Callithrix jacchus: one gene and its partners. The protein of the gene in region 2 purifies or fractionates together with the protein of the main gene of each other region. This does not show direct contact. Links are inferred from orthologs where the notes say so. Each region holds a gene or a part of one and is shown on either strand. Other genes may lie near its edges.

Region 1 (3,524 bases), on a different chromosome or scaffold from region 2:
AGTTTTTATTTTATTCTTTAATGTTTATTAATGTTTCCCCATAACGTAGAGCTTTCCTTTTCTGTTCTGCTTTCTGTGTTCTCTACACGTATGTGAACCACAAGACTGAAGAAATCTAGCCTTTGAAAAACCCATAGTTGGAGTTTATTTGCTCTAAAACAATTTAGTTTTTTTTGTTAGGTTCAAGGATTTAAGAGACCCTTTATATTATCCACAGTCGTAAAGCAATTTGTTCCCAGTTTGTGTGTGAATGACAGCTCATCAAGACTGGTCAAATAGGACTGGGGCTAAGTTTCAGGAAGGTAGTCTAGACTCGAAATGATGATTCAAGGGTTGAAGAACTCAGCTGGTAGAGATCACAGCAGAGGCCAAGAGTTTCTAGTATTCAAAGAGAATCCAGAAAACCAGGACAAAAGCCAAGGACAGTAGCACTTAGCAAAGCAGAGAATCATGATGGGGAGAATCATCATGATGAGATGTTAGAATAATTCACAAATATTGGCATTTACAAAGCTCTTAGTTATCTCATGACTGTATCAACTCTCAAAAGTGGGTGTTATCTCCTTTATTCAAAGACATTAAGAGACTTGGTTCAAGCAACCATAGTAAGTGGCTGAGCTGAGACTGAAATCTTGTAATTTAATTCTTCAGACTGAAAATCTCACCTTCTAAGATAGTAGTGTTTTTCAGACTGTTCTGTTGATTCTGAGAATTCTGCAGAGGTAACCAAGGTGAGGGGATAGGGATGGGGAGTCTCATCCCTCGTAGGTCACACTCCATCCCAGCTTCATTCCACCAGAATTGCTGAGTTTTAAATATTACCATTACAGGCCAGGCCCTATGGCACACCCCTGTGGTTCCACTACTCAGGAGGCTGAGGTTAGTGGATTGCTTGATCCCAGGAGGTTGAGTTTACATTAAATCGTGTTTCTGACACTGTGCTTTTTTTGTTTTTAAAGGCAAAGAAGCTCTTTATTGTTACTATTATTATACTTTTAAGTTCTAGCGTTCCTGTATACAATGTGCACGTTTGTTACATAGGTATACACATGCCATGGTGGTTTGCTGCATCCATCATCCCATCATCTGCATTAGGTATTTCTCCTAATGCTATCCCTCCTCTAGTCCCCCGCCCTCTGCCAGGCCCTGGTGTGTGATGTTCCCCTCCTTGTGTCCATGTGTTCTCATTGTTCAGCTCTCACTTAAGGATGAGGACATGTGATGTTTGGTTTTCTATTCTTGTGTTAGTTTTTTGAGAATAATGGTTTCCAGCTTCATCCATGTCCCTGCAAAGGACATGAACTCATCCTCTTTTATCTCCAACTGTACTTAAGTCTGGGCAACAAAGGGAGACCCTGTCTCAAAAAAGTGGGGGTTATAAACGTGATTTCGTTGAGCAAAATTGTTTTGTGTAAAAAATTCACCTGATTAGGAGCCACAGAATTCTAATTCCAGTACTAACAATTATTTGACTGTAGGCAAGCTTGGTCATATAAAATGGGAGAGTTGGTCTTAGATAACATTTAGATTTATTTTTGACATAGTCCAATCCATTAAAAAAATTTTTTAAATTATTTTTAGAGATGAGGTCTTGCTATGTTGCCCAGGCTGGTCTCTTAGGTGGAAATAGTTCAGTTAGCATTCCATGCCAGTTCTTCAGTGAAGTCTGTGTTTATATCCTTTAGGTAGATAACTAAATGTGAATGTTTTGGTGTGTTTATGTTTTCTTGTTAAGGCAGAGTGAAACATAGTCACACCGCTGCACATCACCCCAGCTTCCTACCCTTCCCAGGATTCCCTTTCCCTTCTGTCTCTGACCAAAAAATAAAAAACAAACCCACAAAAGGTCTCTTAAAAATCTTTTTCCTCTATTTTTGTATTTTAGGAACAAGTTCCAGTTCCAGTCTACCATCCAACACCTAGCCAGACTCGGCTAGCAACTCAGCTGACTGAAGAGGAACAAATTAGGATAGCTCAAAGAATAGGACTTATACAACATCTGCCTAAAGGAGTTTATGACCCTGGAAGAGATGGATCAGAAAAAAAGATCCGAGAGTAAGTTTTAATTTGTACATTTCAAAGTTTTATTTTCAGAAATTCGCTTTGAAAAAATTTGCGTTTTCTCTTGCACTTTAGAAAGTAAGACATTTAATATATTGAAACACTTCACTTAATGCAAGGATATGTTTAATTTTTTTTTATAGCTCTTATTACTGGCTACTAACAAGAGAATGCTATAATATAATTAAGAGTTTTCACAGGCGGGGTACAGTGGCTCACACCTATAATCCCAGCACTTTGGGTGGCTGAGGTGGGCAGATCACTTGAGGCCAGGAGTTAGAGACCAACCTGGCCAACATGGTGAAACCTCGTCTCTACTAAAAATATGAAAATTAGCCAGGCATGGTGGCCTGTGCCTATAATCCCAGCTACTTGGGAGGCTGAGGTAGGAGAATCACTTGAAATTCTCAAAAATAAAATAAATAAAAAACTGGGCACGGTGGCTTACGCCTGTAATCCCAGCACTTTGGGAGACCAAGGTGAGATCCTTCACGTGCCCCTCCTGCATGGAGCCAGTTGATGCAGCACTGCTTTCATCCTATGAGACTAATTGAGCCAGGGTCTCTCATCTGACTTCAAGTGAACCATCATTTTTGGTGGTTTTGATCTTTTGTCACTGAGCCCAAAGAGCCAGGAAGGCTGAGGCAGGAGAATTGCTTGAACCCAGGAGGCAGAGGTTGCAATGAGCCGAGATTGCGCTACTGCACTACAGCCTGGGTGACAGAGCAAGACTCCATCTCAAAAAAAGGAAAGTTAATGAAGAGAGCTTTAACTTACAGCAACCCAGTAAGTAGGCTGAAGTTAGTGTTTCTGTTTTTACAGGTAGTTATTAAAATGAAAATTATCTTTCTCTAGAATTACACTAAATAGTACAAGGAAACAAAGTTGATCTAACTGATGCTTTTCTACCTATAAAGTAATCCCATTCTCCTTCTACTATAATATGTAGCTGTTTAACAAGCACACCAGTAGATGTGATCCATATGGAATCCATTTCCCTTTGCTCTGTTGATTGCTCCTAAGTCCTGCAAATTCTCAGGGATTGAAATAAGAGACTGAATAGATCAATAGTAGGAAAAAAATCAGTTTGCATGCTTTGGTGATAAGATGACAGGCAAAGCTTTCAGCTGTGTTATTCAGATTAACACTGTTTTTAATGGGATTTAAAGCGTTTTCTGAATAGGACACTTCTGAAAATGCCTTCTGATTTCTCTCCATTGCTCCCAACAGGTGTGTGATCTGTATGATGGACTTTGTTTATGGGGACCCAATTCGATTTCTGCCGTGCATGCACATCTATCACCTGGACTGTATAGATGACTGGTTGATGAGATCCTTCACGTGCCCCTCCTGCATGGAGCCAGTTGATGCAGCACTGCTTTCATCCTATGAGACTAATTGAGCCAGGGTCTCTCATCTGACTTCAAGTGAACCATCATTTTTGGTGGTTTTGATCTTTTGTC
Region 2 (3,419 bases):
ATAAGCTCTTAAAAGAGTACTTGATGGTGATAGAAATCCCCGTCCAAGGCTGGGACCATGGCACAACTCATCTCATTAATGCTGCAAAGTAAGCAGTTTATGTTCAGCTCTCTCCTGTGTCATCTGTAACTATCTTCAACCGCAGCCACATGAGCTGCTGCCACCCTGAAGCTCAATGGTAGAGTGATTTGCAGCCAGTTTCTGCCAATGGGAAACAAATTCAGAGTCTTGTGCATGGTTAGAGAGGATTATCTAAGGTACTACTAACTTGTTTCAAATCGAAACAAGTAATTTATCCATAATGATTTTCCTATATATCTGGACCCTGAAAGTCCAGATATGTCCCCTGGCTCTCTTCTGTTGGGACCAATAACCACTGTTCTTACTTAGATAGCTTCCCTACCATTCTGTGAACAGGCGACACACCTATCTGTCTAAGCTGGCTTTTCTGATGTGCCATTGCAGAATTATGAGTTTTTAAAGTGCATTTACACATCTAGGATAGTTGTTTTGTGTGTTTGTATTTTAATTACTCCAGTACTTATTAAAAAGACTAGCAAGTGAAAACACTTGGAAACAAAAGCCTTTCTGTCTTGGCTGCTTGGTAAGAATGGGCACATCAGACATAGAAGGGACTGTAAGTTGTTTAAGTTGCAGCTCATGATTCTGCCATGTGGAAATGGGAGGAAAGCCCCAGAATGCCCATTGTGTAGGTATCCGGTCTTTAAACATTGGCTTTATGTGGAAGAGATGCCTGTTTCTGAGCACGTGAAGGACATCTGTCTCTCAAAGTGGAGATTAGCGAATTAGAGTCAACAGTAAACAGACAGTGCCTTTGAGTGTGTCTGCGTCTTAGTTACTCATGGCGGCTCATGCTGGTGAAGACCAGACACAGGATTAAAGTTAGTAACAGCAAAATACCCAACCTAAAAAGTTTCAAAGTAGTTAATACTATAAAATAGACTAGTCCCCAGACGAATAGCCTGAGTCATGTTTTACTCAGAATTTGATCTCTGAGAAATTAGAAAGTAAACTGATATTTTCTTAGCCCTTGTTTTAGAACTATCTATAATTTTGGATGGACCAAGATTGATTAAATGAAACTGTGATTTTTAAAAATAAGGAAGTCTTAGCAAACTACCTGACATCATTCTTGACTCTAGAAAATGTGTCAGATCATGTTATGTGAAAAGTGTGAGCTCTTCATCACAGGCCTGCATTTCAATGAATGGTTCTACGATTCTTGCCGTAATCCACATTCTAAAACTTTGTCCTATGGGCTAAATGATGTAAAACTTTGTGTGTGATTTTGTTTCATCTCAAACATATTTTTTCCTTTTGGCCTTCAGGTTGGATGAAGCTAATTTACCCAAAGAAATCAATCTGGTAGATGATTACTTTGAACTTGTTCAGCATGAGTACAAGAAATGGCAGGAAAACAGCGAGCAGGGGAGGAGGGAGCTGCTTGCCCAGAATCCCATGGAACCTTCAATGCCCCAGCTTTCTCTCATGGATGTAAAATGTGAAACGCCCAACTGCCCCTTCTTCATGTCTGTGAACACCCAGCCATTATGCCATGAGTGCTCAGAGAGGCGGCAAAAGAATCAAAACAAACTCCCAAAGCTGAACTCCAAGCCGGGCCCTGAGGTGCTCCCTGGCATGGCACTCGGGGCCTCTCGGGGAGAAGCCTATGAGCCCTTGGTGTGGAACCCCGAGGAGCCGGCTGGGGGGCCTCATTCAGCCCCACCGACAGCACCTAGCCCCTTTTTGTTCAGCGAGACCACTGCCATGAAGTGCAGGAGCCCCGGCTGCCCCTTCACACTGAACGTGCAGCACAATGGATTTTGTGAACGTTGCCACAACGCCCGGCAACTTCGCGCCAGCCACGCCGCAGACCACACCAGGCACTTGGATCCCGGGAAGTGCCAAGCCTGCCTCCAGGACGTTACCAGGACATTTAATGGGATCTGCAGTACTTGCTTCAAAAGGACTACGACGGAGGCCTCCTCCAGCCTCAGCACCAGCCTCCCTCCCTCCTGTCACCAGCGCTCCAAGTCAGATCCCTCGCAGCTCGTCCGGAGCCCCTCCCCACATTCTCGTCATAGAGCTGGAAACGACGTCCCCGCTGGCTGCCTGTCTCAAGCTGCACGGACTCCGGGGGACAGGGCGGGGACGAGCAAGTGCAGAAAAGCTGGCTGCATGTATTTTGGGACTCCAGAAAACAAGGGCTTTTGCACCCTGTGTTTCATCGAGTACAGGGAAAACAAATGTGAGTAAAATGGTTGATTTCTTAACATAGTAGCTACTGTCAAGAAGGGGTTTTGTTCCTGAACTTTAAGGGAAAAAAATCTAGTGCGGGCAGTCAGGCAGAATGGTCAGAACCTACCTTGCTGTTCTACTGGCTTGTGCATGGGACCCCGCCCATGGAGGCAAAAGGCACTGCCTGATTGCAGCAGCTCCTAATATCACATTCCAAAAACCAGAGCGCCCTGTAGACAGAGCTCATGGGATTTGCTTTTATTAGACCATTCAAGTCTGGGATATCTAAGATAGTCTAAGTTTAAACTTAACTTCTTTTGCAACTTGGGTATAATAGAACAGTCTTAAAATATGAAGAGTAGTAACTGGAGAGAAGGAAGGTGTCTATTGACACCGTAAGGGAACAGTCGTGGTTTTGGAAATCTCTAATTCAAAAGAAGGGTGACCAGGTAATGCCTGCTCTTTGCCCTGCTCCTGTGACCAATCAGTGCTCCAAGTTCAAAATGAGAGATTTGTAAAGCCAAAGATGTTTCCATAATAATGCTGTTATTTCTTCTGAATTGATACATTTAAATATATGTATATTTAAGTAGGTAAGTAGATAGATGGACATAGCTAGCTGGCTATATATTTATATATATAGCCAGCTAGTTAGATAGCTAGATAGATATTTAAGGCTGGCCTAATCTGTATTTGGCACCCGTTTATTTCTCTGATGTCAGCACCTCTCTATCTGGGGGACCCCTGTGTGGTACTAATTAGGATCCACTCTCCTGTAGATTTTGCCGCTGCCTCAGGGAAAGCCAGTCCCACAGCCTCCAGGTTCCAGAACACCGTTCCGTGCCTGGGGAGGGAATGCGGCACCCTCGGAAGCACCATGTTTGAAGGATACTGCCAGAAGTGTTTCATCGAAGCTCAGAATCAGAGATTTCATGAGGCCAAAAGGACAGAAGAGCAGCTGGTGAGACATTTTCAGGAGCTTCCCCTCCCTCCCTTGTGTTCGCTGCTTTTTGTTGAAACGTTTTCTTCCAATAGTGACAAGCAGACTGTCCTCTCTGCCAGGTTCTGTCTCCTCACGATAAAGGATTAGTTCAGAACCTGAAGGGAAACGTCCACATCACTGTGGCCCCCCAGGTCAGAAATGCTACCACTGATTTTCA
Region 3 (2,506 bases), on a different chromosome or scaffold from region 2:
CTTGTTTAATTGACAGGATTGCTGTATCAAATGAGACAAATTACTATGAAAGTACTTACAAAAGTAAAGTAATTCAATGGAAATATAAGTCAGTATTATATAGGGGGGAAATTTTTACTATCTTTGAAAAATGTCTTTCAACAAACAAAAGTAAAAGTGGAATTCTAGGACATGTGACTATATAGACTTAAAAGTTACAGAAACATACTTCTCTGGAAGTTTTCCAAAACAACAAACTTTAAAATGCAAACAAGTTACTTTGTTTTTTGAACTTATTTAGTGCCTAAATTATTTGTAGATTTGGTTATTACTGACTATATAAGTGTAGTTAAAGGAGTTTAATGGATTTCTTTTTCTTTTTTTAATGAAGATGATTTGTCATTAATTCGGAAGAATAGAATGGCTCTCTTTCAACAGTTGACGTGTGTGCTTCCTATCCTGGATAATCTTTTAAAGGCCAATGTAATTAATAAACAGGAACATGATATTATTAAACAAAAAACACAGATTCCTTTACAAGCAAGAGAACTGATTGATACCATTTTGGTTAAAGGAAATGCTGCAGCCAACATCTTCAAACACTGTCTAAAAGAAATTGACTCTACGTTGTATAAGAACTTATTTGGTGAGTTTGTTGGGAGAATTATTTTAGAAATTCTTAGGACTATGTTCATCTCTGTTTGACAAGCAAATAAATCCAATTAGCAACGGTCTGTATTTCACTTGTTCCCAAAAAGCGGCCTTTTCTTTCCCAAGTAGTATGCCTAAATGTAACAGTTCTGATGATACATAGCTACGATCTACATCATTTCATAAATAGGTGAAAAAAAGAGGTAGTAGGTGAAGCAGTTTTGTGTTAGTAGAGTGATGCTTTTTATATGTTTTCTTTCCTCAGTGGATAAGAATATGAAGTATATTCCAACAGAAGATGTTTCAGGTAAAACAAAGATTTAAAACCAACAAAAACTATTACCCTTATTTTTTTTTTAATGGGAAATGAAGTGGAAACAGTTTCACTAATGTTATTTTTTGTTACTAGGTCTGCCACTGGAAGAACAATTGAGGAGGCTGCAAGAAGAAAGAACTTGTAAAGTGTGTATGGACAAAGAAGTTTCTATTGTATTTATTCCTTGTGGTCATCTGGTAGTATGCCAGGAATGTGCCCCTTCTCTAAGAAAATGCCCTATTTGCAGGGGTATAATCAAGGGTACTGTTCGTACTTTTCTCTCTTAGAGAAAAATAGGCTATATTTTAACCTGTATAAAAAAGTCTCTAAAATATTGTTGAACACTTGAAGCCATCTGAAGCAAAAAGGGAATTATTAGTTTTTCAATTAGTAACATTCATGTTTTAGTCTGCTTTGGTACTAATAATCTTGTTTCTAAAAGGTAATATCATATTTAATCTTAATCTGTTTATTTACAAGGGAAGATTTATGTTTGGTGAACTATATTAGTGTGTATGTGTGGACATAAGAGGAGTTAAGGGAGTTAGTGTCACGGCTTGTTATATATCATTTAGGGAATTACTGGATTTGGTATTCTTTCAGAAAGCTCTGAATACTAGATTACAGTGTAGATTAAAATAACTGGAAACCGGGAGCTCTGGAGTTCATCAGAGTTACGGTGCCAAATTGTCTTCGGTGCTTTTCACTTGTGTTTTAAAATAAGGATTTTTCTCTTATTTCTCCCCTTAGTTTGTGAGAAACATCTCAGTAAAGTGCTTTAAAACGATTGTTACCAGAATATTTTTTTGTCCTGATTTAAAAAGTAATTTTCATGTGTCTTCATTGTACTCAAATGCCAACTATTAAGTAAATAATTGCATTCATGAGAAATTATTAACAAGTATTTAAAAATAATGTTATTTGGGAAATTTCTTTAGATGACAGTTTCTTGTTGCTTTGTATGTTACAGATACAATGTTGGATGAAAAACGAATCCAACATTAATTTTGAAAAACTCTTAATAAATTAGATAAATAGTTGTTGTTTTCAGACATTTGTGTAATTGCTTTGTTGCATAAGTGTTGATGGGGCGAGGAGGTGGCATAAAGGCAATGAATGGTAAGTACCTCCTTTCTGGGTCCAGTCATATTTGACCTTTCTTAGATTTGGCTCTGGCAGACTTCTGAAGCCAGGTGGATAAGGAGGTCTAATATTAAAAACTCTCCGTTTTTCTTCTCACATCACAGCTCTTTTAGATTCCTTTAGAGAACACACGGGAAGAGTGAGTGAGAATTTCTGTATCCTCCAGCCTCTTCTCTTGCTTTTGTTTCTATCCTGATGTGCTGATGCATGTATGTAAGTCCAAATGCATATATACCTAGGTTCAAGGCCTCATGAGAGAAATGCTCTCCCAGCCATTAGAGAGGGAATTCTTTTTTCCCCAAATTCAGTTGACTCAGAACAATGTTAAAACATTGTTAACTTTTCTCTGCCTTTCATTCTGGCCTATGATAGCTGACGGGATAATTAGCTCCCTCGAGGAATCAAACTAAAAGTTCT

Evidence for each region. The genes of interacting proteins can lie anywhere in the genome.
Region 1: the proteins of TNFAIP3 (region 2) and RNF11 purify together in Homo sapiens (affinity purification with western blotting; 3 studies listed by BioGRID and IntAct, with this or other methods). This does not show direct contact. The link is inferred for Callithrix jacchus from reciprocal best matches to the Homo sapiens genes TNFAIP3 and RNF11.
Region 3: the proteins of TNFAIP3 (region 2) and BIRC2 purify together in Homo sapiens (affinity purification with mass spectrometry; 5 studies listed by BioGRID and IntAct, with this or other methods). This does not show direct contact. The link is inferred for Callithrix jacchus from reciprocal best matches to the Homo sapiens genes TNFAIP3 and BIRC2.

What each region holds. Positions count from the first base shown.
Region 1 is NC_133508.1:88,144,126-88,147,649, forward strand, and holds part of RNF11 (RING finger protein 11), read left to right. Parts: intron 1-1,885; coding exon 1,886-2,055; intron 2,056-3,291; coding exon 3,292-3,463; 3' UTR 3,464-3,524. UniProt on the Homo sapiens protein: Essential component of a ubiquitin-editing protein complex, comprising also TNFAIP3, ITCH and TAX1BP1, that ensures the transient nature of inflammatory signaling pathways. Promotes the association of TNFAIP3 to RIPK1 after TNF stimulation.
Region 2 is NC_133505.1:144,655,647-144,659,065, forward strand, and holds part of TNFAIP3 (tumor necrosis factor alpha-induced protein 3), read left to right. Parts: coding exon 1-88; intron 89-1,349; coding exon 1,350-2,269; intron 2,270-3,038; coding exon 3,039-3,220; intron 3,221-3,419. UniProt on the Homo sapiens protein: Ubiquitin-editing enzyme that contains both ubiquitin ligase and deubiquitinase activities.
Region 3 is NC_133511.1:2,410,884-2,413,389, forward strand, and holds the end of BIRC2 (baculoviral IAP repeat-containing protein 2), read left to right. Parts: intron 1-370; coding exon 371-625; intron 626-895; coding exon 896-937; intron 938-1,039; coding exon 1,040-1,233; 3' UTR 1,234-1,998; downstream 1,999-2,506. UniProt on the Homo sapiens protein: Multi-functional protein which regulates not only caspases and apoptosis, but also modulates inflammatory signaling and immunity, mitogenic kinase signaling, and cell proliferation, as well as cell invasion and metastasis.